Linked DNA regions of Ovis aries. The protein of the gene in region 6 purifies or fractionates together with the protein of the main gene of each other region. This does not show direct contact. Links are inferred from orthologs where the notes say so. Each region holds a gene or a part of one and is shown on either strand. Other genes may lie near its edges.

Region 1 (3,941 bases), on a different chromosome or scaffold from region 6:
CCTGTTATATATTTTCATAACACTCCTAACACACTTTTCATACTTTTCCTTCACAGTACTGATCACAGTTTGTTAGTTACATATCCATGAGTCTATCTGATTAATGTAAGCTTCCTATACTAGACTCAAGCTCCATAAGGGCAGGGACCATAATGTTTTTTTCATCACTTTATACCATAGTATCTGGCATAGAGCAAATCCTTGGTAACTGCTTCATTGGTTAACAATGAAAACATTCATTTAACAATCACTATGAAACGTTCAAGAAAGAATCTACAATTAGGGCAAGTCACAGATCTCAGGGTCAAAATTCCTTACCTATCAAGCTCAGTTTAGGAACGAGGTACATGTCCTTTTCATTGATGACAAGAGTGGGGGCAGGTGGTGGTGGCCCAGTATCTGAATTCTCAGTGGCAGGCACCAAAGGGCAACGCTGCACAAAGTGTGTGTCCACTAGTCGCACAAATGTGTTTGATACCTCGGCATAGTCCATGGTCTTGCCATCTGTATGACAGGAGGAAACAGGCAAATGAGACGGCCTCAGGTAGCTAAGGGTTCACTCCTGCATCCAGTCAACCTATACTTTTGTTAACAACTGTGGATACAGTACTGACCCTCCATAGTCTCTGTGAGCCTATCTGCTACTTTCTTCACAACAGCTGACATTGTCATTTTGCCATTCAACAACAGCTCCTCAACAATCAGCTCTCCAGTATCACTGTATAGTGTTTTGGCGGTGTAGATGTACCGGGGATACCTAAGCATTCGCAACACCCGGTTGCACTGGGCTTCATACTCCACCACACCACGTTTGTGCACTTGATATATCACCAAGTTGTGCTGGATGAGGACACAAAGGGCTTTTTTTACCTAGAGAGGATATAAAAGAGAAGAAAAATCTGAAGATGCAGTTCATTATTGCTGGCAAGTTTTGTCCAACAGTTTCCTAAACATCAAGAGACAGCTGCAAATTGCTCCCTCTCTCCACTGGAATAGTTAGTGAGAATCGAATGTCAGTGGAAAAAATCAGGAAGATTCCTTACTATGATGTTCATATTTCCTCCAATCTTTATTTTTCAAAGTACAGTTTACTTTCCCTATATTATTCTCATTCTTAAAATGTAGTACTGAGATTAATAGACTCATTATGAATAAATGAAGTATGGGATAGGAGGAGCAAAGATTTGCCTAAGAAGCCACAAGGAGCCAGAACACTTTGAGAAGCAGAACCTTGGGCCCTATGTCTCAATCTCTCTCTCCTCTCAAATAACACCATTCTGATTCTAGGGCAGACTTTGCTCTTTTCCATTTTGTGGGGTTATCCGGTCTCTTACTCATGTCTGACTCTTTGCAACCCTATGGACTGCAGCACATCAGGCTCCTCTGTCCTTGTGGGGCAGGCAGTAACAATATTAAAGGGTAGGTAAAACAAATTAATGAAATGAAAGCAAATTGATGTGATCCAAACTTACCTGATCTAGTGATGTTCCTGTGTCATGGGCAATAACTCTTAGGGGCTGGCTGCCAGTTCTGATTAGGTGGACTCCAATTTTTTCTACAATCTCTCCAAAATGCTCTTGCAGCAACAAAGAACAGAGTTTAATTTCTGCTTGAGTCATTATGCTGAGGAGTCTCAGAGCTAGAAAAAAAAACACAACAGTATGATGGGAAGTTTTTCTTTTATGTTGGGAGCAGAATTGCTGAATGTAAATTCATGTTCTTTCTAGATGGCAATTTGACAGTAGATATACCAAAAGCCTTAAAATCTTGCATCTCTTTGACCTAATTCTTTTGTTTTAGATATTCTGTTCCAAGGGAATGATAAAAATATGTCACGTCAGAATACTGATATTCTGGGAACCTAATAAGTGATTATTTCAATAAATTATGGTATATGCATGCAATGGAATTCTATGCCAACATTCACAATACAATATGTATTAGTGTAGGAAATTATTCTGTAACTGAAAGATGCGGGTTACAAAGCAAAATGTAGAGGAAAGTTCAATTACTGAAAAAATCCCCACATGCATGCATGGAAAAAGAAGACTGGAAACCTATGTATATGAGATTTATCTTTATGGGATCATGTATGATTCTAATTTTCTTGAAAGACTGGGTGTAGATGGTTTTGCGATCTATCACAGACTTTAGATTCTATACTTCATTGTTTCACTCCTATTGGGAGTGAACAGGCAATGACAACTTTGCAAAGTAAGTTAGGAGGTAAATGATAGCTTTTCAACAGGGTGTTTCAGATAGGAGATGAAGTATGTTGTTAGCAGGGCAGTACTTAATTTTGAAATTTCGATTTCTTGACTAAGTAGACACAAAAAGAAACAGACATGGTTGACTATATAATCACAAGTGCTATCAAACACTGGTTTGTTCATCTATTTCTCCCAATCCCTCAGAAGCCAACCAAGACTATGCCTTTCAGCTTCACTATCCCCATCCACAGGTCTTTGGGGACACATCCCCAGACCCTCTGCCATCCTCGAAAAGGATTTCTAGGGAGCCTGGCTCCTGGCTCTTCACTCCTTTCCTGCTGGTTCCGGTTCCGGAGTGGATGCCCGGGTCCAGAGACAGGGCTGCCTCGTTCAGACAGCATTTTCCACTAACCTCTGGGTCAATGCAACGTAACGCCGCCGAGTTCCCCACGACTGCTTTGTGAGGTTCCCGCTGACCGCCCGGGCAGAGGGGGAGCCCAAGGTTCTTTGGCGCAGGAGCACGGCCACCGAGGAGGACCGGCGAAGAGGAAAAACATGTGCCGATCTACCCCAGCGTTTCGGTGGTTTCCGGGGACGCTCTTTCCTTCTTCTCGGTGGGAGTTTGGAGGACCGACGAGGGGCTGTTTGAAAAGCCGGCCGGCGGGCGGCGGCGGGCGGACTCTCCTTCCTGCGCCTCTTTGGTTCTGGGAGGCGGGCCGCGGGGTCAGCCGCCGCGCCACCGCCTCTGTGGGCCGGGCGGACTCACGTGACTCGCGCGGGCTCTGGAGAGGCTGGCAGCACTGAGGAAGCGGCGGAGGCGGCAGAGGAGGCGACAGCAGCCGGGAGCCAGCGGCCTGGCGAAAGACCGGCCGGCTGCCCTCTCGGACGGACAGCCGTGGCGAAAGAGAAAAATGGCGGAGGCTTCAGCGGCCGGGGCCGGCGCGGGCTCTGCGGTTGCCGCGCACCGGTTTTTCTGCCACTTTTGCAAGGGCGAGGTCAGCCCCAAACTACCGGTAAGAGCCCGGTTCCTCTGCCCTCCGGCATCGGCCCGGATTCCTCTCCCAGATGGCCTGGAGTGGGGGTTAAGCTTCCCACACAACCCGGATTCACCTGACATCGGTCTCTCAAGTACCCTGCTGCCCGGGCGTCTCGGCCCAGGCTCCGCAACTCTCGCTCGGATGTTCCACCTGCCCTTCACTTTCTCTCCCGTCTTGACCAGCTCCTCCCATCCCCCCCGCCCCCCCGCGCTCCATTTTTAATTTTTTTTGCCTTCTTTATTTAGCAAGTTCTCTTCTGACACGTCGCCTGTTTTCATGCACTCTTCTTCACCTTGTCTCCTTCCCACGATGACCTCTCTTTTCCTGCATTCCATACTCTTTCCGCTGTTGCCTCTCACCTTTATTCCTTTTCCACTTTTTACCAGATCCCCCCCCCCCTTCCCTCTTCTCATTAAAGCAAAATAGCGGATTGCTGAGAATTGCCCTTATTCGGTCGTCCCTAGGAAAGGAAGCAAGAAAACGCGGAGAGAAAGAGAGGGTTGGAAGGTAACTGGGATGGAGAGGGGGATTTTGCTCTTCAGGGGTTTCCAGTATTCTTCTGAAAGTGAAAACAGCAGTGTGCTAATGACTTGCAGACTGCCTGCGCTCCCTATCACTATTGAAGGAAATGGCTTTAGGAAGAAGGCAGAACATATTGTTTCAACTTGCATATTTTGATTGTCATGCTGCCAGT
Region 2 (3,949 bases), on a different chromosome or scaffold from region 6:
GGGAAACTACTGACGTCACCTGCGTCCGAGAACTGGTCTTACTCTCCCACACCACTCTGCTCCACCGGAGGGGAGTTTATGAGCCAACAACTATATCATGAGAAGCACAGTACCCACCTGTGTGGGTGGTCTAGCACGTTTTTCACTTCCTTGATGAGGCAGAGTCCTTCAGTTTACTGTACTTTACCTTTTCGAAGAGTGTATACTAGAACTATACCACAAAAGGTGAATTATAGAGATTGCCCCCAAATGTGGATTTTTTTTTTTTTTTTTTTTGGTATCGACTGAAAGTGGGAAAGTTGCAATGCAAAAGAACGAAAAGGAAAACCTGACCCATCTCTGCCCAAACTATTGGCTCTCAACTCTGGCTATAAAACATAATCTCTCTCTGAAGTAAGTCAGGCAGAGAAGGAGAATTGTATGACATCCTTTATATGCGGAATCTAAAAAGAAATTATACATATGAATTTACTTCAAAACAGAAAAAGACTTACAGACTTAGAAATTGAACTTGTGGCTGCTTGTACACACTGTTGTATTTAAAATGTATAACCAAAAAAATAAATAAATAAAATGCATAACCAACAAGGATCTGCTGTATAGCACATAGAACTCTGCTCAATGTTATGTGGAGGCCTGGATGGGAGGGGAGTTTGGGGGAGAATGGATACATGTATATATATGGCAGAGTCCCTTCACTGTTAATCTAAAACTATCCCAACACTGTTAAATGGCTACACCCCAATAAAAAATTAAAAGTTAAATAAAAAAGATAATCACTGTTTCACTGCAAAAAAGTTAAAACAATTTTAAGGATGGATTCCCAGGCATCAGTATTTTTTTAAAGCTTGCACATTAGAATCACCTGGGAGCCAGGGTCGCTAATCACTACTGCAAAGAACTAAATCTACAAATTTAAACTTCTGAGCCACCTACTTAGTTATTTCCCCAAAGTCCAAATTCAGAGCAAGTAAACAAAGGGGCAAGGCTTCCCAGGTGGCACTAGTGGTAAAGAATGCAGGAGACACAAGAGATACAGGTTCCATCCCTGGGTTGGGAAGATCCCCTGGAGAAGGGCATGGCAACCCACTCCAGTATTCTTGCCTGGAGAATCCCACGGACAGAGAAGCCTGGCGGGCTACAGTCCCTGGGGTGGCAAAGAGTCAGACTCAAGCAAGTGACTGAGCACAGACGCACAAACAAGGCGCGAGGATTCAGGAGGCCTAGCTACTTACTCTTCCTTGATCTTCCGACTGATGATATTTGGGGTGAAGGTTTTCTGAAAGTAAAATACAGGAGTCACTGATTTGGTAAATTCTGGTCCCAAAGTACAGAGGAAAGGAAAAACTTCCAAAGGGCATCTTCCATGGATGAAGACCAATATGGCTCTCTTTGGCACATTCCATACTGTTGTCAAAGATTTACTGAAATGGACAGGTGCTTGAAAAGGAGGAATGTCATGCCAAGGCAACGGTGAAGCTATATATAGAAGGGGGCATCAAAAAACATTTAAATGGCAGCCTCAGTTTCTGCCTCCTGAAAGGACAACCCTCAGGACTCTAACAGCAGAGGAATTTACCTACTCTCACACTTCATCTTCAAATTGCTAAGACCAGACAGTATTATAGAGGATGAGCTCTACCAGCAAGGTTCAAATGGGAAAGACAGTTCTGCCAGCACTCACAAACTGATGATTGGGTTAGACTGCCACCAGAATTTACAAAGGGAAACTGAGGCCTTCAAAAACTGGCTGCTTTATGCTCTATCATCCTCCCCATTCTCTTTACAGTCTACCCGTCACATCTACAGTCACAAACATAATATAAGACACAGAGGCTCTACTATCACACCTAAGACTCAATACTTTGGACCAGAAGTCTGCACACTGGGATCCAGGGCAAATTCAGAACTCTCTTAAATTGCAGGCAAACTTTATGTCTGCGTGGCTTTCATGGGTTTCTGAAAGGTATCCAAGACACACCAAAAGGAAATAAACCCTGCTCAAGTTGCTTCTGAGCTAATTAGGATTCTCTGCTATTCAGCCATCTCTGAGAGCCATGTCAACATCTTGGACCCAGTATCTTGACTTGAAGGTAGGGCAGGCTCCCCAAAAATTGCAGGCGGAAGTCTGAAGACAAGATTCGCAAGGCCCAGCACCACGCCTGGCACACAGTAGGCCCTACAGTCAAACCCCCAAGTGCCTGGAATTCAGCGTAGCTGGATTTCTTTAGAAAGGTGCCGTCGGGTACCTTCTTGACTCCCCCGAGGGTAAGATCCCTGGAGCGGATGGAGGGAAGGCGGCCCGGGGTGAGGGGAGGTGCCGGCCTTCGCCCAATAAGCCCCCGCGCCCCAGAAAGGAGGGGTCGGGGCCCTCCCGGAGCGCTGGGCTCGCCCGCGGCGTTTCCTTCCGACATGATGCCTGAGAAAGAAGGCGAAAAGGGGTAACGAAGTCACTCGAGGGAGAAGGACTCGCGGACCCTGAGCGGAACCCCACCCACGTGGCCTCCCGCCCCCCGAGTCGGCGCGTCCCTCCGGCAGAGACTCAGCTCCTCCCCCTCCCACGTGGCGGGACTCCCCCGAACACCCCGGCTAGGGCCCTTGGCTCGCCTTCTCTCCAGGCCCCCGGCCAGGCACGAGGCAAAGACGCACCCCTCCGCACCTAGGATGTAGTTCCACACCACGCGTGTCCCGATTTCACCTCCGACGCGACGCGCAGCGGGTTCCCAGTCTCGGCGCCAGGCGGAAGTCTGCGTGGCAGGGCCGGGGCGCCGCCATCTTGTCGCGGGGCGGAAGTGATGTCGGTGGGCGGGGCCGGGCCACAGTATTTATCCCGCGGCGTCTCGCTCGCCTCCGCCTTCTCTTCCCGGTTCTTCCCGGAGTCGGGAAAAGCTGGGTTGAGAGGGCGAAAAAGGAAGAGGGGAAGGGTCTAGGGGAAGGGTACGTTCGCGAGGTCTTGGCCCCGGGCATAAGGTGGGGGCGCACAGCTCAGATCTGGGGGCCGAGAGGCAATCTGGACGCAACGTGGGAGTTCGTCGCTGGGGAGCCTCCGGGTCGAGACTCGGGATGGGGTGGGGATGCGAGGCAGATTGCGAGACCCCGACTCAGAGTCCTGGAGCTCTAGGCTGCGCCCGGCCGAGCCTCGATTGCCGGCTTGATGATGACCTTGGAGTGGTCACTGCACCTCCGGGCTGCGTCCTCATTCTCTTTGGGGGATCTCCTCGTCGGACTCCTGGTGGGGTCCTGGGGTGGGGCTGTGGACATGGGGCCGTGAGCACAGTGCTGGAGCAGCTGCAGCGGTTGAGGGGGGTGCCTCAATCGCACCTGCCCTAGGCTCATGACTCTGGGTCCTTGTATACACGCTTGTTCCAATCCTGGAACCTGAAAAACGAAGTTCGTTCTACTGGGAGGGATAGATTTAAAGAACTTTCATCGTGACTCTGACGTTTGTAATTAAACATAAAAAATGTCCTTTACTATCGTTCCCTCCCCTCCCAAACCTGTAACTTTAGAGATAGCTTGAGGGAAGGGAAACATTAGTTAGAATTTCACACAGAGTAACTATTAAAACTTTTGCAATATATTCCAGCCCCATCACAGAGATTTCATATTGTACCACAGTTTTGAATCCTCCCTTTTCAAATAACATTTCTTTGTGGCTGTATCAAACAACTGCATAATTCTTGGGTGGCTGTGTCATGATTTGCCTGTGTCGCTGTTTGGACACAAAATGGTTCTTTTTTCCTGTTGTAAATACCACTGTTTTGAACATCTGGTGCCTTTAAAGTACTTTAGTCTTTCGGGTTCTATTCCTAGGACAAATTTCTAGACTTGGCGATAAGTGGTCAAAAGAAGATGTACTTTAATTTTTTGTTTGTTTTGCTCTGAAGTAATAGTAGATACATGAGTAGTTGTATGCAATAGTGCAGAGGGACTACCCTGGTGACTCAGT
Region 3 (3,500 bases), about 43 Mb from region 6:
CGATCCCCGGGTCGGGAGAATCCCCTGGAGAAGGAAATGGCAACCCACTCCAGTACTCTTGCCTAGAAAATTCCACAGAAGGAGGAGCCTGGTGGGCTACAGCCCATGAGGTCGCAAAGAGTCGGACATGACTGAGCGACTTCGCTTCGCTTATTTCCTGCAGCCTAATATCCTCAGGGGTCATCTGTGTGGTTCCCGGTGTTAGCCCTTTATCCTTTCCTGAGACTGAACAGTCTTCCGTTGTGTGGCTGTGTCACAGTGTGATTACCCATCCGTCTGTCCACGGACACCTGGGCTGCTCGCCACGTGCTTTGCTTATGGTCGTTCCAGACTCGAGCTCCCTGGGCACAGGATCACGTGTTGTCCTGCCCCAGAGAGCTCCATGCCCAAGCCCAGCCTGGCACAGCCCTGGCAGAGGCTCCGTGGGGACTTATTAAACTGAGCTGATGGAACTGGGTCACATGGGCAGAGGGATTTTTCCGTTCTGTGCATTAAGGACATTGGCCCTCAGCTGCTCTCTCCGAGGTCAGCGTGCGGCTCTCCTGTCTCTAAGGCTCGGACAGCTGTGCTTGTCCCCTCACCGGGAGGGAGGTGCACCAGCTGCCCCCTGTCCTTCCCCCACGCTTTCCTGCCTGGTGGACTCATGGGAAGCAGCCTGCAGGGAGCCGGGGTGGGGGGCAGGTGGACCCCGCTGTCCTTGGGGCAAGCCGCAGACCAGGCAGCTGAGGGCGCTGGACGCAGAAGCCTGTGTCTGGGGTTAAACAGGGGAGGCAGACCCAACCCCGTGGATCTGGGTGGTGGCTCAGAAAGGCTTGGCGTCTCCCGCTGGCAGAGCAGCTGTGCGGCTGTGGGCAGGCCACTTGACCTCCTGGAGCCGCTTGCTTCCAGTGGGGAAGCGTGACACTCACACGGGCGGATTGAGATGGGCCCTGGGCAGCTGGGCGGGGGCAGCCTCGTGGTTATTATCTAGCCCTGGCGAAGTTCAGGCCCTAGACACCGTATGCCTTTTGCGCTCAGTGGGCACCCCCTTTGAGGCGCTCTGCAAGGGGCAGCAGTGATCAAGGGACGGCTTCTGCCAGGCCGTGGAGTCAGAGTCTGTGATGTGGGCACAGACCCTACCTGGTACTTTCCTTGGGCTCACGTGAGTAGGGACCACCTAGGGCAGAACCTGAGAACCCACAGAGGCATTGTTGCTGGTTTATTGGCTTCCCCCAACCTCCCTGCCCCCCCAAATTTCAGGGCATTTTTAGCATCCTTTTCCAGGTCAGAGCTGCGCCTGGGGCAAACTTTGCCGGTCAGCGGGAGATGGGGAACTTGTTTCCAAACCTGGTTCTCTCTGCCAGTTGCTTCTGCCCTTGTTAGAATTTCAAGGAGAGCGCCCGGAGGAAGGCTGAGATTGATTTGGCGTCACTGATGGCCAGGATGTGGGCTCAGGCATGGCTGATGGGTTGGGAGCGGGCCTGTTTCAGGGCCAGCACTGCTGGCTTCCTGTGGGGGCCAAGCAGTGGCCTTGCAGGAGATGAGGTCTAGGCCCATGGGGAGGCCTGGCATGGACTGCTGGGTGGGCTCTAGGTGCAGCCCTGGGGGCTGGCATGCCAGTGAGTGAGGCCGCCCCCAGCCGGAGTAGCCCTTGCTTACGGCCTGCTCATCACGCCACGGTGTCTCCGTTTCCAGTTCACTTTCGCTATGTGGTGTTCCATCCGTTCCTGGACGAGATTCTGATCGGAAAGATCAAAGGCTGCAGCCCGGAGGGAGTGCACGGTAACATCGGCCCTGCGTCCTCACGCGAGACCTGGGAGCATGCTGGGGGCAGGCGCTGGGCCCATAGCCTCTCCAGGTGGTCAGGGGAGCGGCCACCTAGACGAGCAGAACCTTCCCGAGGGGCTGCTCAGCCGTCCGTCCTATAACAGTGCGGACCCCAGCCAGCTCGGGGCCTTGGCCAGGAGGCTGAGACGGCCTGAGGGAGGCACCGGAGCTGGCGGAGGTGACCCGGGCTGCTGGCCCCAGTAGTGCAGGGTCCACCTTGAGTTTGGGTGGCTGCTCAGGCCGGGCAGAGGCGTGGGGCTCCGAGGTGGAGGAGGGGTCCCCGGGCAGCACAGACTTGGGGCTGGCCGGTCTACTCACGTTGTCACCTGCCTATCTTCCAGTCTCCCTAGGGTTCTTCGACGACATTCTTATCCCTCCGGAGTCGCTGCAGCAGCCGGCCAAGTTGTATCCTCCCAGGGTGAGAGCTTGCACCCCTCCACAGAAGGGTCCCCACTCCTCAGGGTGGCTCTGGGGCCTGTGACCTGATGCTGCTGGCCTCTGTCCACCTCTTTTCTCATTTGCTCCCAAAGCACGGACCTGCCTGTACGTCCCACACGGGCCACGGGGCCTGCGCCTGCATTGGGGCTGCCAGGCCTGGTTCTAGCTCGCCTCGCTCAGGTTGTCCCCTCAGGAAGCATCTCAGGTCGCCTCCCTCTGAGGCCCCTGGCTGGCCCGCCGCCCCTCCTCGGCACGCGTGTGAGGGCCTGGTGCTGCAGGTCCCGGCCCTCGCCCTGTTGCACTGGGGTGGCTGTTTCTGTGGGTGCTCCCCAAGACTGCTCACCGGGAGAGACCCCATCTTGTCCCAGCTGTGCCCAAAGTGCCCAGCAGGGGACCTGGCAGCGAGGAGAGGCAGGGCCCACCTGCAGGCTGCCACTGGAGGGCAGTATGTCCCTTCAGTGTGGGGTCTGCTGAGGGAGGGGCCCTGGTTTTGTGTGTGCACACGTGTGCGTCCACGTGTACGTGTGTGCATGCATGGTGTGTGTGTACGCATGCACAGGGCCTGGGGCAGGGTCTTTGTGTGACTCTGAAACTTGTCAGAAGACTTGCCCTGTCCTGTTGGAAACCGAGACGGTTCCTGGGCTGCCTGCCGGCAGAGAGCACTGAGGCGTGCAGAGGCGTGCGGGATTGCGCCGTGCGGAGCACATGGCCAGCTCCGGCCAGCGCTCGGGTCGACCGTGGGGCCTGTGCGGGGCGCCCTCCACGCGTGCTGCGTCATTACCACCCCGCCGCAGCCCCGGAGGGCAGGTCTCCCTAGCGCCCCTGGTATACCGACAGGGGCCCTGAAGCACGGAGGCTGGGCCCGGCCTGGAGGTGGGCGGTGAGCGAGGTTTGAACTTGGGAGCCAGCCTCTGAGAGGGCACACAGGTGGGGTCCGGGTGGCGGTGCAGCTTGTGCTCTGCTCCGAGCTCCTTCTGCTCTGATGTCCGTGTTCCAGGCCTGGGTCCTGGCACTCTGGTCACTCCATGGGCTCCAGGCGGCCCGACCTCACCTCTTGTATGTGGGGCTGAGCCCTCTCTTCCTGTGACTTCCTGGGCAAAACATGTCAGCCTGCAATTGCCTCTCCCTGGGGGTTTGGGCACTATGGGAGGAACCCCCTGCCTCCAAACCCAGGGCTTCACCACTAGCCTGGTTGTTGCCTTGACCGTGTGCCCTGTCCAGCGACGAGGCAGAGCAGGTGTGGGTGTGGGAGTACG
Region 4 (4,135 bases), on a different chromosome or scaffold from region 6:
GGGTGGGGTGAAAGGGTGCTGTCAAACTCTTGGCTCTATGTTACTTATTTTTTATCTGATTTCAAAATGGTGTGAACTGGACAACCTGGGGTGGACTTCACCAACTCCAGAACCAGAGGTCTCCTCGGTATACTTTTCCACCTGTCAGGGAGCCAACTGTGCTTACCTGATCAGCCACCTGCCGGCTCAGCTGTCCCTTAAAGCCCTTCATCCCCAGGAACTCCCCATCCTCTTCTTCAGCAGCAGCTGCATCAGCATCCACTTCTTCCTCACGCAGGCGCTGATGCAGCTCACCCATGTCCTCGAAGCTGGAGCCTGAGGTATCATCCATGTTCTCCATGTCAATCACTGCTGAGCCCCCACCCTGTGAAGACAACAGACCCTAGAGTGCAGGACCTTTCTGCTTCGTCCAGTTGAGTCCTTCTCCGTTCACCACAAGGTTTGGGGCTAGGGGACTTGAAATCGCCACAGATGACGCCACTCTCTTCTCCTCATTTGGTCTCAGAACCCCTGCTTGTTTGGTGCTCTGTTCTAGTCTGGGGAACCTAGTCCCTGTCTTCCATACACGGCTTTTTCCTACCTTCCCTACCAAGGCCCCAAAGGGCTGCAAAGTGCCCATTTCCTTCATCTCTCCCAACCCCAAAACAAGGCTATGCGCACCAAGTGTGGTTTTGGCTAGTGAATCCCATCCACCCCCAAGCCCACTCCCGCCATGCCTGTCTCCGACTGACTTTCCTAAACTTGTGGAAAGCAAGAGCAATTGGGCCCAGATACCTAAGGCCCCTGGCTGGAGTACCAGTCTGGAGCTTTAAGACCAGCACTAGCCCCACTGCCTTTCTTGTGCACGAAGACTCAAAAGAAGATAAAAAGTGTTGCAAATGGACCAGACTTCCAGGCTCTGAGGGAGAGTTCAGGGCGGCTGCCGGCCCAGGGGCTGCGGGCAGCCGGAGCCGTGGGGCCATTACCTGGATGTTTTCTTCGAACCCTCCCCATTCCGGGCCGGTCCCGTTTCGGGCGCCGCCAGCCGGCGCCGCCGGAGTTGCCATGTCCCTCGAGGGCTCCCGTCGCTGAAGCCCGTGCTTGTCCCGCGCGCGGAGGAGGAGTGGGAGAGATGCGGGCCTGAGAAAGGGACAGGTCTAGGGACAAGAAAGAAAGGTACTATGGGTCGGAATGCAAAAAAAGGAGAAACCCGGATGTTTGGCTCAAACCAACTTCCGGTAGCTGGGGACGTGGACGGAGGCAAGGCACAGTCTCGCGATATTTAAGATTCTAGGAGGTGCGTTGCTACAGAAACGGAGGCGGACGACTAGTGCGCACGCATCAGTTAGGTACTCTGGTCACGTGGAGGAGTTGAAGATGGCGGCGGCCCAGGCTGTGGAGGAAATGAGGACCCGCGTGGTTCTAGGGGAGTTTGGGGTTCGCAATGTAAGTCTTGTGGCCTTCAGCTCGGGAGCAGAGTGAATCAGGGATGAGTTGGCGTCAGAGTGGGGACGGGCTTGGCCTCGCTGCCCCTTCGCAGACATTCTCGTCTCTCTTTGCTCTAGGTTCATACCACTGACTTTCCCGGTAACTATTGCGGCTACGATGATGCCTGGGACCAGGACCGCTTTGAGAAGGTAGGTGGAGCTGGAACTGTGGGATCGGACTTTGTGATATGAGCAACCTGTGCCTTAGAAGCTGTCCTTGTAATTTCCAAGGCGCAGCAGAAAAGGGCAGCTTGCAGCAAGGGGCAGAGGGCGGTAGCTGGAAGCGGGGTTGTAGCTTCCCCCACCGGTAGTCCTAACTACGACCACAGGAGCCAGCAGTTAGGGCTAGAGTCCCTAGTCCTTGTCTGCCTAGTCAAGAACGAATTCAGGCGAGGAGGCAGAAGGTACAGAGTAAAGTACGAAGTTGATTGAAAAGAGAAGTACATGTAGAAAGGCACACGGGCAGGACCCTCCCATGGGATGCACACTCACCTCTTAGCCAAGATGGATCTGGAAGTGAAGGCTTCTGGGAAGAGCAAGACTCGTTATGGCCTGAATTATCCTCTGACTTTTGACCCCAAGTAGCCTTTCTGCACTTGTGATGTATCTTCCTTATCCTAAAAAGGGGGAAGCGGAGATCCCTTAATCCTTACTCAGACGAGGGATTTCGCCTTGCTTTGTTCTTGCTATAATTATTTCTTCAAGATATTTACTAGAGACAAAGACTGTTGACTCTGTTTCTGTTCTCTCTTCGTTTCTGGAGGGCAAACAGGAGGCTGATAGGAAATTCCTCAGCTGGAGCCCGTCTGTCTCCTGCCATACTTGTGATGTGGGACATGCTAAAGTAAAGGTCCAGGTTCTTATTCTACCTGTCCAAAGTGCAAAAAAATGTCACACAGAGAAACTGAGGTGTAGAGAGAACAAAGAAGCAATTTATTAAGGAGAAGGGAAAGCAGGCACTCACAGAAGAATACGAGTGTCCACACGAGTGAGGAGACCACCTGAGGGTCTTTCTAGCCCCACTCCATTATTTTAATTCCTTGAATGGGTGCAGGTTTCTTTGTTGTTGTTCTTCAGTTGCTCAGTTGGGTCTGACTTTGTGACCCCAGGGAATGCAGCACGACAAGCTTCCCTGTCGTTCAGTATCTCCTGGAGTTTGCTCAAACTCATGTCCATTGAGTCAGTGATACCATCCAACCATCTCATCCTCTGTCACCCACTTCTCCTCTTGCCCTCAATCTTTCCCAGCATCACTCGTTTGCAGTGAGTCAGCTCTTGGCATTGCGTGGCCAAAGTATTGGAGCTTCAGCTTCAGCCTCAGTCCTTCAATGAATGTTCAGGGTTTATTTCTTCTAGGATTGACTGGTTTGATCATTTGATCTTCCTTGTTGTCTAAGGAACTCTCAAGAGTCTTCTCCAGCACCACAATTCGAAGGCATCAATTCTTTGGCACTCAGCTTTCTCTCACATCCATGCACGGCTACTGGAAAAACCATAGCTGTGACTATATGGACCTTTGTCAGCAAAGTGATGTCTCTGCTTTTTAATGTGCTGTCTAGCTTTGTCATAGCTTTTCTTCCAAGGAGCAAGTGTCTTTCAAGGCTGCAGTCACCGTCTGCAGTAACTTTGGAGCCCAAGAAAATGAAGTCTGTCACTGTTACCATTTTTTCCCCGTTTGTCTGTCATGAAATGATGGTTCAGATGCCATGATCTTAGTTTTTTGAATGTTGAGTTTTAAGCCAGCTTTTTCACTCTTCTCTTTCACTTTCATCAAGAGGCTGTTTAGTTCCTCTTCGGTTTCTGCCGTTAGGATCGTGTCACCTACGTATCTGAGGTTATTGATATTTCTCCCAGCAATCTTGACTGCAGCTTGTGCTTCATCTAGTACTCTGCATATAAGTTAAATAAGCAGGGTGACAATACACAGCCTTGACGTCCTCCTTCCCCAATTTTGAACCAGTCCATTGTTCCATCTCCAGTTCTGACTGTTGCTTCTGGATCTGCATACAGGTTTTTCAGGAGGCAGGCAATGTGGTCTGGTATTCTCATCTCTTTAATTTTCCACAGTTGTGATCCACACAGTCAAAGGCTTTAGCTTACTCATTGAAGCAGAAGTAAATGTTTTTCTGGACTTCTCTTGCTTTTTCTATGATCCAGAGGATGTTGGCAATTTGGCCTCTAGTTCCTCTGCCTTTTCTAAATCCAGCTTGAACATCTGGAAGTTCTTGGTTCACATACCATTGAAGCCTAGCTTGGGGAATTTTGAGCATAATTTTGCTGGCATGTGAAACGACTGCAGTTGTGCAGTAGTTTGGACATTGTTTGGCATTGCCTTTCTTTGGGATTGGAATGAAAACTGACCTTTTCCAGTCTTGTGGTCACTGCTTAGTTTTTCCAAATTTGCTGGCATATTGAGTGCTGTACTTTAACAGCATCATCTTTTAGGCTTTTAAATAGTTCAACTGGAATTCCATCACCTCCACTAGCCTTGCTCATAGTAATGCTTCTTAAGGCCCACTTGACTTATTTGATTAGGGACGGTCTATTTATTATTGGGAGGATGGGTGGTTATAACAGCTTCTCTTGTGCATCTGTCTCCTAAAGCCACCACACTAAGAGCTTTCCCCCCTTTAATTTTCCCTTGGAGTGAAACACCAGGTTGTATAGAA
Region 5 (4,143 bases), on a different chromosome or scaffold from region 6:
TTATGAGGGTGAAAGAGCGAAAAAGTTGGCTTAAAACTCAATATTCAAAAACAGATCACGGCATCTTGTCCCAACACTTCCTGGCAAATACAAGGTGAAAAAGTGGAAGCAGTGAGATTTTCTTTTCTTGGGCTCCAAAATCACCACAAATGGTGACTGCAGCCATGAAATTCAAAGACCCTTGCTCCTTGGAAGGAAAGTTATCATTCCCCCATTCAAAACTCTTCAACTGTCACATAGGATAAAATCCAAATTCCTTTCCATGGCCCCAAGGTCCCATATGATCTTGCTGGGCCTCCAACAAGCTAAGCCCCAGCCAGTCTCAGGAACTTTGCACATCATCTATTTTCCTCAGGTCTTTTCAAAAAAGGCTGGCTCCTTTTCACTAGATATCACCCATCCCACTTCCTCCAGGAACAGACAAGTTTCCCTGACCAGTCACCTTAAAGGCCCCCACCCCTCACCCGTTCCAGTCACTACCAAATCCCTGTTTTATTTCTTTCATGGTTCTTATTATAACTTGGAATTACCTAGTTGGTCTATTTGCTTATGTGTTGTCTGTCTTCTGCACTAGAATGTATGCTCCATGAGCACCCTCTGTGCTTCAACCATAAAACAGAGATGATTTAATTTACTTTGTGGAGTTGATACGGGCATTATTATCTTTTTAAAAATTCATGCTGTTCTCCCAATATCTAGAACAGTGAAGTAAACACTTAATATAGTACAAAGACTGAGTAAATCAGTGCATGAGATCAGGCAGTGACAGACCCTTTACCCAGTGATCCTAATTCAGCCCCATCCAGAGACTGGTGGCCTTACAGTTCGGGCCTCCTGGACACTTGAGGACAGGGGTGTGGTCTGCACTTCCAGGCCACCACCTCAAGGCAGCAGTGACCACCTTGACCTCAAGAGGGTTTCCTGTGACCACAAAGATACTCTATGGCAGCGGCTCCAAGCACTGGGCACAGAAAACATCCCCACCAGGGGACTGTTCAACAAAGGAAAGGGGACAAGGTAAATCTAAGGGAGGGTCCAGAGCAGAGAAGATGCCTGAAGGCCACAGCTGGGTCACCCAGGAGTCTAACCTGTAGGCCAATCAGAAAAACAGAGGCCAACGGAAAAACAGTCTCCAGCTACTGGAAGGAGAGAGACAACACAAAACTGAATTAAGGGGTAAGGGGCCCAGGGTAAACAGTCTCAAAGTCTGGATTCTTATTGGCTGTGTGCCCCTTCGACAAGGCATCTCCCCTTTTTGAGTCACTTCAGTTTCCACCTCAATGCAAGGAGAGAGGTGGCCTAGAGGCAAAAAGAATTAATTCTTAACTCATAAGACCCTCCCTTCTCTAAGGACTTAATATATTCATCCTCATGTAATCTGTCCAATAGCTCTCTAAGTAAGGATGTATTGATACCATCCCCAATTAACAGAAGAGGAAACTCAAGTTCAGAGAGTAACTTACCCAAGGTCACAGTGCCAGAGAAAGGCAGAGCTAAGCCACAAACCTGGGTCTAGCTGATGTCAAATAGCCTTATTCTCATTCTTAACGACTATGCTGCGAGCTCCCTTAGTGGAAGGCAGGATGGTGTAGTGGGTAAAAGCCTAGACTCTAGAGTGAAACTGCACAGGTTCAAATCCCAGGTCTGCCCTCTGGTACCTCTACCCCGTCTAGCATCGTTTGATCTTCACTATTTTCACCCCAAAAATGGGTATTAACAAAAGTACCAACCTCAGAAAACTGTGAAGATTAAGTAAAGTAGAAACGTAATCCCTGGGAAGGTTTGTTACTTACTCGGCACAATGTTTTCTTCCAATATAAAAGGGCAGGAGACAGAGCCACGAAACAAACACTACAACCTGGCGCTTCTCCCGTCTTACCCTATATTTAGCTCTCATCACAGCCCTAGGAGGCGGGGGAATCCTCTTACCCCCAATTCACAGATGAAGAAAACCGTGACAACTGCTTTAAGCTCTCCTTTTTCTGCCCTCCAATGATTCTAAAGCTAACACAACAAAATGACTTTTTTTATTTACTGGTTTACTTGACGTGCTTACTGACACCTCGTCTGATCAAATCTTCAGGGCCGGCCCCATCGGCCGCACGTCGCTGGCTCCCAATTAGCACTGAAGGGTGGCTGGAATAAATGAATGGAGAATTCCAGGCCTAGCCGGACTCGAGCTGATCCGGTTCGGCGGCGAGGAGGGGGCCCCGGACACCCTCCCCCTGCCCATCGGGGCGGGCCGCCTGCCCCGCGCCACACTGTCCAATGGGTTTCGCCTCCCTCGCGGGTGGTCAGGCCCCCTTCTCACGCCCACCACACAGCCACTGCCACGAGCCGCCACGCCGGCAGGACACCGGCTGCCTTCGGACAGGTGCTCCCACAGGAGGCCGGCCTGAGCCGGGTGGGGCAAAGCGGCGGGACCCTGAGTCACCGCCGGTAGCCTCGGCCTTGGCGTCACCGACTGCCACGGCGAGGCGAGGTCGGAGCCTGTGGCCGGCCCGGGTCTCCTGGGGCAGGCTGCCCGTCCTTCCCGCGGGAGTCCTAAGAGGCCCCCGGCCCCTGGGCACCGCGCGGCGCGGGCCTCCCGGCCTACTCAGCAGCCCCGCCCAAGCCCACCTCGTGAGTACGGCCCGGCTCCAGCACGGGTGGGTACTGCCAAGACGGCACTCACCTCTCCGCGGGGCCCGCACGCGGGCGCAGCAACGGCCCAGGTACCCGCGGGCTGCAGAAGCGGCAGTGGCCAGACTCTCCTCTCAGGCAGCGGCCATGTTGCCGGTGGAGAAACTCGGGCGGACACGTGGGGGGAGCGAGAGGGGCGGGCCCTAGCGCTTCCTTTTACCCACAATGCCCCGCCCCGGCGCGCGCGGACCCGCCCCCTCCGCCGCTCCATTCATACGGGCGGCCAGCCCTGGCCTGGCAGCAGGGGGCGCTGACGCAGTAGCAAAACAGCTGGTGAGGAGGTAGCAAGGGGCAAAAAGCTCACTCTGGCAGCGGTGGGATTCGAACCCACGCCCCCGAAGAGACTGGAGCCTTAATCCAGCGCCTTAGACCGCTCGGCCACGCTACCCAGTTGTGAGTGGGGCCTTCCAGAAAGCTATTTAATGCATTTACATGCAAGTACACTTAATTTCTGATTGTTTGCTATATGTTTTACTTCATCCCTATAGAACTATTTTAGAAAGTATTGGCTACTAAAAATAAAATATTTTCTCCAGTAATTAGACCCACACTTCTTCCGAACAGATCTTAGAACAGTTTAAGAATCTGTTTTCTGAGTAGGACGTTTAACACGTTAAGCAGGTTAACCCACACGGGAATAAACGATGGATTTCGGCAGTAACCCGCACCAGGGCTTCCGAAAGCCAAACCCGTGGACTGGTGTAGGCAGTTTTCTCTAAAATTATGTGTTTTAATTTTTAGTTACACAGATAATATGTGAATTATTGCAAAATATGAAAACTTTGTAGATAAGGTACTAATGTTCTTTTACCTTCGGTCTCTAAGTCCCTTCCTCAGAGGTAACCGTTATACAGCTTAGTACACTGCGTTTCCTTCTGGACCTTCTATTGTGAATTTATGTGAATATATATGGATATATTCACGTGGATAGATATATCCATAGAAATAGGTAGTTTGTTTTTATTGTTATGGATTTTACATAAATATAAATATTAATCATACTAGTAGTATTTATTGCTTTTGAACTGTGGTGTTGGAGAAGACTCTTGAGAGTCCCTTGGACTGCAAGGAGATCCAACCAGTCCATTCGGGAGGAGATCAGCCCTGGGCTTTCTTTGGAGGGAATGATGCTGAGGCTGAAACTCCAGTACTTCCGCCACCTCATGCGAAGAGTTGACTCATTGGAAAAGACTCTGATGCTGGGAGGGATTGGGGGCAGGAGGAGAAGGGGGGACGAGGATGAGATGGCTGGATGGCATCACTGACTCGATGGACGTGATCTGAGTGAACTCTGGGAGATGGTGATGGACAGGGAGGCCTGGCGTGCTGCGATTCATGGGGTCGCAAAGAATCGGACACGACTGAGCGACTGAACTGAACTGAACTGAACTGAGTATTTATTGCAACTGACTTTTTTCACCTATTTTTTTCTAGTATCTATCCATATTGATATATATGTAG
Region 6 (3,500 bases):
TTATTTTCTTTATCTGCAATGGAAAGAGTAACATGAGGAAAGACTCTGGCTTCCAGTTCATTTGTAATCATATCCTTTCCCAAGATTTGATGCTTACCTCTACATTAATGAAATAGTTAAATGAATCTATATGCTGTTTCACAAGGCCTTTCACCTAAATGGATAAAAAATAAAAGCAGGTTAGCAACAAAATAGCAGATTACACAAAGGGCTTAACCTGATCTATAAATTTTCCCCAAGACCAAAGTGACCACAAAAAATCCATACATTTTACTTGGCAAAACTTTCTATTTTCACGTCCTCATTCCATTTCTCCTCCATCTTACTAGAACACTCTCAAACTTTCCTCCCTGAAAAACAACTTGACGTTTGGAATTCAAGATATATACCTAATGACTCCCCATGAGCTAACAAATTAGGCAAGAAAGAAAATCCAAGAAAAAAATATAGCAATCAAGCATCATGTCTCCAACCCTCAAACAATGCCTATTTTCTTTTTTTCTTGCTCCTATGTAAGTGATTTTATGATTTCCCCATATCTGGTCTTTCATATCACTTTTAGAAGAATGAGGGGGAAAAATAAGGATCTCTATTAAGGAAACCAAAAATAAATGCATTTAAAATTGAAAGCAAGGTGAATCCCAGGGACCAACAAACAGATCAGCTCCAGTGACTGCCTTTCATCTCAAAAGTCAGTACAGCTACACAGACAGTGCTGTGTGCTGCTATGAAAAACCCTGAAAGGCTAAACACAGATTCCAAAGTCTTAGGATTTAAAAGGACTGTAACGTGTTCAACTTTTTACATTAATGTTCAAACATAATTAGTTCAACACTTCTAGAATACACTCAACAGAAAGCATCACAGGGCCTCTGCTTTAATTACACCTCTTTTGAGGGATCTCACTGGCTTACTAAGCAGTTATCCCATTTTGAAATAGTCCTGATTGTTGGGGGAAAAATTCACTCTGATAATGATCTCTAGTCTAACATCCTGCAGTTTCCCCCCCATGGGCTTAATGTCTTTTCTGGAGAAAATGTCTTCTCCACCACAGTCCATTTAGTTATCACATCTCTTTTACGTCCTCTCTTCCAGGCTGAAGAGGCTCTTCCACTATTTCTCACAGACATGCTTTCCAGACTCTTCAGCAGCCCATGGACCGTAAAAACTGGTCAGAAATCTGCCCTTGACAATTCCCAGCCTCATCTGCCAGCATGCTCCCTTCTGCCAATAATACAGAACTAAGATGGAAAAAACCTGACTCATTTTTCAACCCTCTTTTCTTTCACTGAGCATAATGCTTCCAAGAGCATCCACATTGTAGCATGTATTGGCACTTTCTATTGCCAAAAACATTGCATTGTATGGATATATCATATTTCATTTAGCCATCCATCATTTGGTATTCGAGTTGTTTCTATTTTTGGCTATTATAAATAATGCTGCTATGAACATCTGTGTACAAGTTTTTGCATGGACATACGTTTTTGTTTCTCTTGAGTAAATACCTAGGAGTAGAATTGCAGCATCATACAGTAACTATATGTTTAACCATCTGATGAACTGCCAGGCTGTTTCCCAAAGCGGCTATATCTCCATCAGTAGACTGTGAGGGTTCCAATTGCTCCACATCCCCACCAACATTTGTTATTGTCTTTCTTTCTTCACTATAGCCATCCTACTGGGTGTCAAGTGGTCTCTCATTGTGGAACCTGCTACTATTTAGCATAAGCACTTTAAAACTGAAATTCAATGATAACAGGAACCTTATAATCTGTACTTCCTTTGTCTGAACCACTCATCCACTCCAGCCAAGCAGACTGGACTCTGTTTTCAACAGACCCCATGGATCCTCCTCTTGAGGTCTTTTATTAAGCCATGCTCCCCACATCCTACCTTTCGGCTTAGGTAAATTCCTTTCCTCTTGTTGTTGTTGTTTAGTTTGCTAAGTTGTATCTGACTCTTTTGCAATCCCATGGACTGCACTCTGCCAGGCCACTGAGCCAACTGGGAAGTCCTCCCCTCCTCTGAGGATGTGGTTTATGTCTCACCTCCTTTAGGAGGCCCTTTCTGACCACCTGTGGCATCAATCTTCTGCCAGCAGCACTTTGGTTTGTACACTTTGGTTTGTATTATTCCTATGCCAAGTGACAATGTAAACTACTTCCTACCTCTAAAATTAGATTACAATCCCCTACCTAGTACTTTATGGACAGGGTTACTGCCTTATAATTTCTCATATTTCTAAAACTTAGAAAAGTGCACAGTTGTACAAAGTCAAAAAATGTTGGTGATAAAAATTTAATTTTAAAAAAGGCTTATTTCTTGACTCTTGATTGGAAAAATAACTGTTATTAGATATTAATTACCTTTAAAAATGCTGGAAGCAGCCGCCATTTTTCCTGTGAATCAGAACAATAAAAGTATCAGAACTCTGTGTCAGTGATCACAATATTTTCATGAGGTTATTTTAATGTAACAAAAGTGACTTACTTTATCGCAGTAAGCAAAAGAAAGTAAGTGGAAACAGAAAGAACAATTTTTACATTGTAACCTTTTTATGGAAATCATATATGTACTGTACATGTACATGCATACAAACATATGCATACACACAAGCATATATAAACCAGAGATTTCTTAAACAGAATATACTTTAATCCCAATTTGATGACTCAAGCACTTTTCATCTTTATTTTATTCTCATGACTCTTCCTGAGTAAGCAGGGTTTGCCAGTTTGAGAAAGGGAAAGTATCAGTAAGTTTCAGAGAGTTTGGTTTAAACCCAAAGGGAGTTCTTTCTCCCTCCTATTTTCTCTCAACTAGCACCTGGTCAGAGCCCAGGCTGAAGAAAGATATCACCCGGTGTTCACCTATTTACCCGGTGTTCACCTATTTACCCGGTGTTCACCTATTTAAACAGCTATGAACTAACTGCCACGTTCAGCTCTTAGGCCTGCTCTTCACACCTTCCTGAGGTTGTAAACAGCCTATCATGATATAACTCTTCATGAGTGGTATCTAATCTGTTCATGGGAAATCTGACAAATGGTTAGAACTGAGTCTAAAGTAAGAAAACACAGTTTCTGAGTAAGAGCCCAAGGATCATGTAAGACCTTGTGAGAAACTGTAAAATTTTTTTGACTTTGGGCAACAGAGAAGTGCTGGAAGGTTTTGAGCAAGAGTGACAAGGTGATGTGGTCCATTTTAACTGATCACTCCAGCTGCTGGGGTGAGAAAAGACAAGGTTAGAAGCAGAGGGATCATTTAGGAGTTTCCTGCAATACTCTAGGCTGATAACAATACAGGTAGTGAGAAACTGTTGCCTAGGAAAACACGATGTGAAGTTAGAGTCAACAGGACTTGATAGTATATGAGATGCAGGAATCTGAGAAAGACAAACGGAGACTGACACCTTAGTGCTGCCATTTCTGGAGATGAGGAGGCAGGGATGCTGCTGAGGCAGCCCCTTTAGTCTGAAGGGGCGACCAGGAGTTTGG
Region 7 (3,926 bases), on a different chromosome or scaffold from region 6:
TCATCTCACATCAAGAAAGGTAAGTACCTGTCAGGATGCTCCCAGGGTGGCTGGGAGCTAGTGTGGCAGCCGGTCCCCGGGCCTGGGGACAGAGGTGCTGGCCAGGCTCCATCCCACCCTGGCGGGGCAGGCTTACCTGCTTGGCAGAGGGCGTCATGCCCTGCTGCACCACAATGAGGGCACGTGTGATGTTCTCCTCCTGCATGCGCTGACAGTACACCTTGATGGTCTTGATGCCCACCTTGGGCTCCTCTGCAGGCAGAGCACAGGCTGATCAGTGCTGCAGGGCCCCTTCCCATCGGGCACCCAGGTTCTAGCCTGGCTCTGCCAAGGCACTGCGGTGCCACTCCCACTCTTGGGCCTCAGCCTCCCCGTGTGCAAAGCAAGAACTGGGCAGCTGGTTCCCAGAATGGGGGAGCTGGCTGCCTCCAGGTCACATGGGAGCTGACAAGTGCCCTGGGTGCCCTGGACCTCAGGGACCTCTTCTGGAAGTGGGGTCTGGGAGTCTGGGCTTGGCCAGGGCTCAGTGGCTCTGAGGTTTGGGAAGCCCTGGATTTGGTTTAGTCTTGGAGTTCATGAGACAAGGGCTGGGGTTCTCAGAGGTAAGCTGAGGTGAGCTGACCCAGAGAGTATGGTCCTGCCAGACACAGACCACCCATCTCCATGCCGTAGCACTGGGGGTCCTCATGGTCTTGGCAGCATGCAGGGCCTGCCACAGAACAGCCGGACCCTAGGAGCCCAGCAGGTCAGCACCTAGGGCAGCCCCAGGGTCTGTGTGCAGTATGTCCGCCCCTTCCAGCTGCTCTCACTTCCCATTCCACTAACCCACTCTGCCCTCAAAGTCCCTCTGTTGGGGTCCTGGCCCTGGAATCTCAGAATGAAACTGTATTTGGAAATGTGATCTTTAGGCCCAGAGAGAATGGATGGGTGATCGAGAAGAGGGAAGCTGGAGAAGGGGTTCCCAGAGCAAGGAGGGCAGGGGACAGAAGGATAAGGGTGGGTGCATGACTCTGGGGCGCACAGCAGGTGGCTGCTGTGAGCTGGCCCTGAGCAGCCCTCACCTGGGAAGAAGACGAACATCTGGTCAGTAGGGTCGTCGTTGTGGGCCACCAGCACCGTGAGGTCCGTGCGCCTTGGCCGCCCTTCACTGGGCTTGTCCCCAAACTGGGCCTTGAACTCCTCCAGAGTCTGGTCCAGCTCGTCCTGGGTCACCAGGTAACCACGGTCATGGCACAGCTGCAGAGAGAAAGGGCAGGTGATCGATCGCACAGTGGAGATAGGACAGCAGCCAGAGCTCCGGTGGCCTCACCCACCGCAGAGGAGACTGGGGAAAGGCCTGGGATGCAAGCGGAGATGTTGAGTCCAGAGTCAGGCCCCAGGGCGTAGGTCTGACAGGTACAGCAGGCTGGGCGGGTGTTGGCTGTGAAACCAGGCAAAAGCCTGAGGCCCAGCAGTTCAAGGTCCTGCTCAGAAACTAGGGCTCTGTGAGCACACAGACTAGGTGAGGACCCAGACAAAGGAAGGTTGGAGCTGCCACCCAGCCCTGCCCACATCCCCCACCCCCCGCCGAGTCTCCATTCAGAGACCTGGGTCTCCTCTCCCGCAGCCCCGACACCATCAGGTAGAAGCGCAGCTGCTCCCGCCCTGTCTTGAGTAGCTCTGCCAAGTGTTGAAGAGGCTGGGTCATAGCCCAGCCTTAGCTCCAGCACAATTCCCAGGAGGCTGGGTGCTCTTGATCAAGGCCCCAAGTCTTTGTGGCATCACACTGGACCCCTCTCACATGGTGGCTTAAAGCATGTGGTACACAGAAAAAGCTGGTGTGACTGCTGTGACACTGAGACTGAGTTGGTGGGCAAGGCATCTAAGTAACCACCAGACAGCAGTCAGACCAGCCCACCAGGGTTCCTTCCACCGTCAAGAACCCGGGATTCTGCGTTATGCACTTACGGTGGTGCTGATAAGACAGGCTGGGAGCTGGGACCCTTTGCGGCAGCGCCTGCACTTGGACAAACATCTTCTCCAGCAACAGAATACCCAGAAACCATGCGGGACTAAAAATAACCGTGCAATTGCCCAGCTCGAGCAAATGATAGACAACAACAGAAAGTCAAAACCTCCACTTCTGAGGTGCCGGAGCAAAAGCTGGGTGCCAGGCCTGATCCCTGCACACAGCACCACCCAGAGGGTAGGCAGACCACCCGAATCATCACTCTGGCATGACCCCTGGACCCGCGCCCACCCTCATCCCATTATCCCATTCAAGACGACCTAAGAAGGGCGCCTGTTGCTTGTTTTCGCTCCCTCCTGCTGCAGCATAAGCTCCAACAAAGCCTTGCCTGACCTTCTAGTCTGGCCTGTTATCAATTCTTACTGATTAAGAACTTCAAGGATCAGGGGCTGTAACACCACAACCCTCCAGAAACACAAATACAAGGCGGCCCAGCGTCTCCCGCCTTCCCTCTCTCCAGCTCGAGCGAGATCCTGACCCCCTTCTCTGGGGGCTCTGGGGCTCGACTCCTCCGCTCCAGCCGCGCCGCCGCGGGTGAAGAGGCTCGTCCTCATCAACGGGCCCTAGCACCCGCCGTTCACGCCTCGGCCGCCACGTGCCCAGTTCGTCTGGCGCAGCCAGGCACGCCCTCACCGCGTTCTCCAAGGAGGGCTGCCTCCGCGCGGCTCACCTGCATGATGGTCTTGCGGATCTTCCACAGCCGGTATGTCTCCTCCTCATCGTCCATGATTCCCGCCGCTCTCACACACTGCGCCTGCGACCAGCACGACCAGGGCCCACAGTGCCTACTCCGAGTCCTGATCAGGCCCCCAACACGTCGTCTACCCGTGCAGGGCTGTCGCAGGCGAACGCCTGAATACAGCGACCTTCGGGAGCGGCACTGCCAAGGGCAGCCCTAGCCTTCCTAAAGCGGCGGTTGGTTGCGCGAGCAGCTTTCAAACAGCACCGCCCACCCGCCCCTCGGAAGTTCTCGCGATGCTTTGACGGCACGGCTTCTCGGGAGTGGTGGTTTTTGCTCAACGTCAGTCTGGACAGTGTTTAGAATCTGGAGAGATTGAGGAAGTGTGAGCGGAGCCTCGGTTTTCCGTTTTGTATAATGAAAAGAATAAAGTGTCCCCCATTTTAGAGGATCTAAAGAGATGCTCGTACTTGGGAGGAGCTTGGTATAGTTCCTGGTGCTTACAAAATGCAGCTGAGCCCCAGCCCAGCCCCTGCCTGGATACCCCAAGAGTGCACAACCTCTGCATCGGCCCTTCCCCTCCGAGTTCGTTCAGGAGGTTTGTTCAGGCCTGCTCAGCCCAGCTTACTTGTGTCAGTAACTTCTCATTCAGTAATATATTAATTCAATGATTCAGTATTTAATGAGGAGCCAAAGAGACGGGGAACAAAACAGACCAAGCATCCTTACATGCCAGGGAGAGACAGGACAGAAACAGCGGACATAAGTAAATGATACAGCGTGTTAGAAGGAGACAGTGCTGTGGAAGAAAAAATAGAGAAGTCTCAAATGTGGTCATGGAAGGTTCCAACAAAAATCCAAAGGGTGAGAGGGTAGAAGCCCTGGGGATGTCGAGGAAAGTGTATCAGGTAGAGGGTACAGCATGTGCAAAGGCCCTGAGGCCTAGCATGTTGGCAGCAAGGAGGCCTGTGGGTCAGAGGGTCAGGTGGGGCAGATCTTGGGAGCCCTTGCTGGTTGGGTTTGAGAAGTTTGTGCTTGCAGCCATTTTCAGCATCTCCACAGGGCAGAAACAGGGAGACCAAGGAGTGGGCTAGGGAGGACCGTCCCGGCCAGAGATAGATGAGGCCTCAAGTGAAGGATGAGCTGTGGGCAGGTCTAGGGTGTCCAGAAGGCAGCGCTCATAGGATCTGTAGGTGGACAGGATGTGGAAAGACACAGAGACAAGCAGAGGAGGAAGAA

What was found.
Region 1: the proteins of POLR3B (region 6) and POLR3C fractionate together in Homo sapiens (co-fractionation; 4 studies listed by BioGRID and IntAct, with this or other methods). This does not show direct contact. The link is inferred for Ovis aries from reciprocal best matches to the Homo sapiens genes POLR3B and POLR3C.
Region 2: the proteins of POLR3B (region 6) and POLR3D purify together in Homo sapiens (affinity purification with mass spectrometry; 8 studies listed by BioGRID and IntAct, counting the BioPlex papers as one, with this or other methods). This does not show direct contact. The link is inferred for Ovis aries from reciprocal best matches to the Homo sapiens genes POLR3B and POLR3D.
Region 3: the proteins of POLR3B (region 6) and POLR3H purify together in Homo sapiens (affinity purification with mass spectrometry; 8 studies listed by BioGRID and IntAct, with this or other methods). This does not show direct contact. The link is inferred for Ovis aries from reciprocal best matches to the Homo sapiens genes POLR3B and POLR3H.
Region 4: the proteins of POLR3B (region 6) and POLR1C purify together in Homo sapiens (affinity purification with mass spectrometry; 7 studies listed by BioGRID and IntAct, counting the BioPlex papers as one, with this or other methods). This does not show direct contact. The link is inferred for Ovis aries from reciprocal best matches to the Homo sapiens genes POLR3B and POLR1C.
Region 5: the proteins of POLR3B (region 6) and POLR3E purify together in Homo sapiens (affinity purification with mass spectrometry; 8 studies listed by BioGRID and IntAct, counting the BioPlex papers as one, with this or other methods). This does not show direct contact. The link is inferred for Ovis aries from reciprocal best matches to the Homo sapiens genes POLR3B and POLR3E.
Region 7: the proteins of POLR3B (region 6) and POLR2E purify together in Homo sapiens (affinity purification with mass spectrometry; 7 studies listed by BioGRID and IntAct, counting the BioPlex papers as one, with this or other methods). This does not show direct contact. The link is inferred for Ovis aries from reciprocal best matches to the Homo sapiens genes POLR3B and POLR2E.

What each region holds. Positions count from the first base shown.
Region 1 is NC_056054.1:99,170,396-99,174,336, reverse strand, and holds the start of POLR3C (DNA-directed RNA polymerase III subunit RPC3), read right to left. Parts: upstream 2,801-3,941; 5' UTR 2,623-2,800; intron 1,640-2,622; 5' UTR 1,620-1,639; coding exon 1,473-1,619; intron 871-1,472; coding exon 615-870; intron 505-614; coding exon 319-504; intron 1-318. Other genes in the region: E3 ubiquitin-protein ligase RNF115, read left to right, coding at 3,122-3,223. UniProt on the Homo sapiens protein: DNA-dependent RNA polymerase catalyzes the transcription of DNA into RNA using the four ribonucleoside triphosphates as substrates.
Region 2 is NC_056055.1:43,365,492-43,369,440, forward strand, and holds the start of POLR3D (DNA-directed RNA polymerase III subunit RPC4), read right to left. Parts: upstream 2,801-3,949; 5' UTR 2,660-2,800; exon of another isoform or gene 2,608-2,659; intron 2,420-2,607; 5' UTR 2,415-2,419; coding exon 2,250-2,414; intron 1,280-2,249; coding exon 1,236-1,279; intron 1-1,235. UniProt on the Homo sapiens protein: DNA-dependent RNA polymerase catalyzes the transcription of DNA into RNA using the four ribonucleoside triphosphates as substrates.
Region 3 is NC_056056.1:218,442,404-218,445,903, reverse strand, and holds part of POLR3H (DNA-directed RNA polymerase III subunit RPC8), read left to right. Parts: intron 1-1,674; coding exon 1,675-1,761; intron 1,762-2,147; coding exon 2,148-2,211; coding exon of another isoform or gene 2,212-2,224; intron 2,225-3,465; coding exon 3,466-3,500.
Region 4 is NC_056073.1:17,058,153-17,062,287, forward strand, and holds the start of POLR1C (DNA-directed RNA polymerases I and III subunit RPAC1), read left to right. Parts: upstream 1-1,335; 5' UTR 1,336-1,356; coding exon 1,357-1,425; intron 1,426-1,544; coding exon 1,545-1,616; intron 1,617-4,135. Other genes in the region: protein YIPF3, read right to left, coding at 167-364, 966-1,046. UniProt on the Homo sapiens protein: DNA-dependent RNA polymerase catalyzes the transcription of DNA into RNA using the four ribonucleoside triphosphates as substrates.
Region 5 is NC_056077.1:20,517,717-20,521,859, reverse strand, and holds the start of POLR3E (DNA-directed RNA polymerase III subunit RPC5), read right to left. Parts: upstream 2,801-4,143; 5' UTR 2,675-2,800; intron 1-2,674. UniProt on the Homo sapiens protein: DNA-dependent RNA polymerase catalyzes the transcription of DNA into RNA using the four ribonucleoside triphosphates as substrates.
Region 6 is NC_056056.1:175,323,296-175,326,795, reverse strand, and holds part of POLR3B (DNA-directed RNA polymerase III subunit RPC2), read right to left. Parts: intron 2,403-3,500; coding exon 2,370-2,402; intron 155-2,369; coding exon 98-154; intron 14-97; coding exon 1-13. UniProt on the Homo sapiens protein: Catalytic core component of RNA polymerase III (Pol III), a DNA-dependent RNA polymerase which synthesizes small non-coding RNAs using the four ribonucleoside triphosphates as substrates.
Region 7 is NC_056058.1:41,257,705-41,261,630, forward strand, and holds the start of POLR2E (DNA-directed RNA polymerases I, II, and III subunit RPABC1), read right to left. Parts: upstream 2,801-3,926; 5' UTR 2,736-2,800; coding exon 2,679-2,735; intron 1,237-2,678; coding exon 1,062-1,236; intron 253-1,061; coding exon 137-252; intron 1-136. UniProt on the Homo sapiens protein: DNA-dependent RNA polymerase catalyzes the transcription of DNA into RNA using the four ribonucleoside triphosphates as substrates.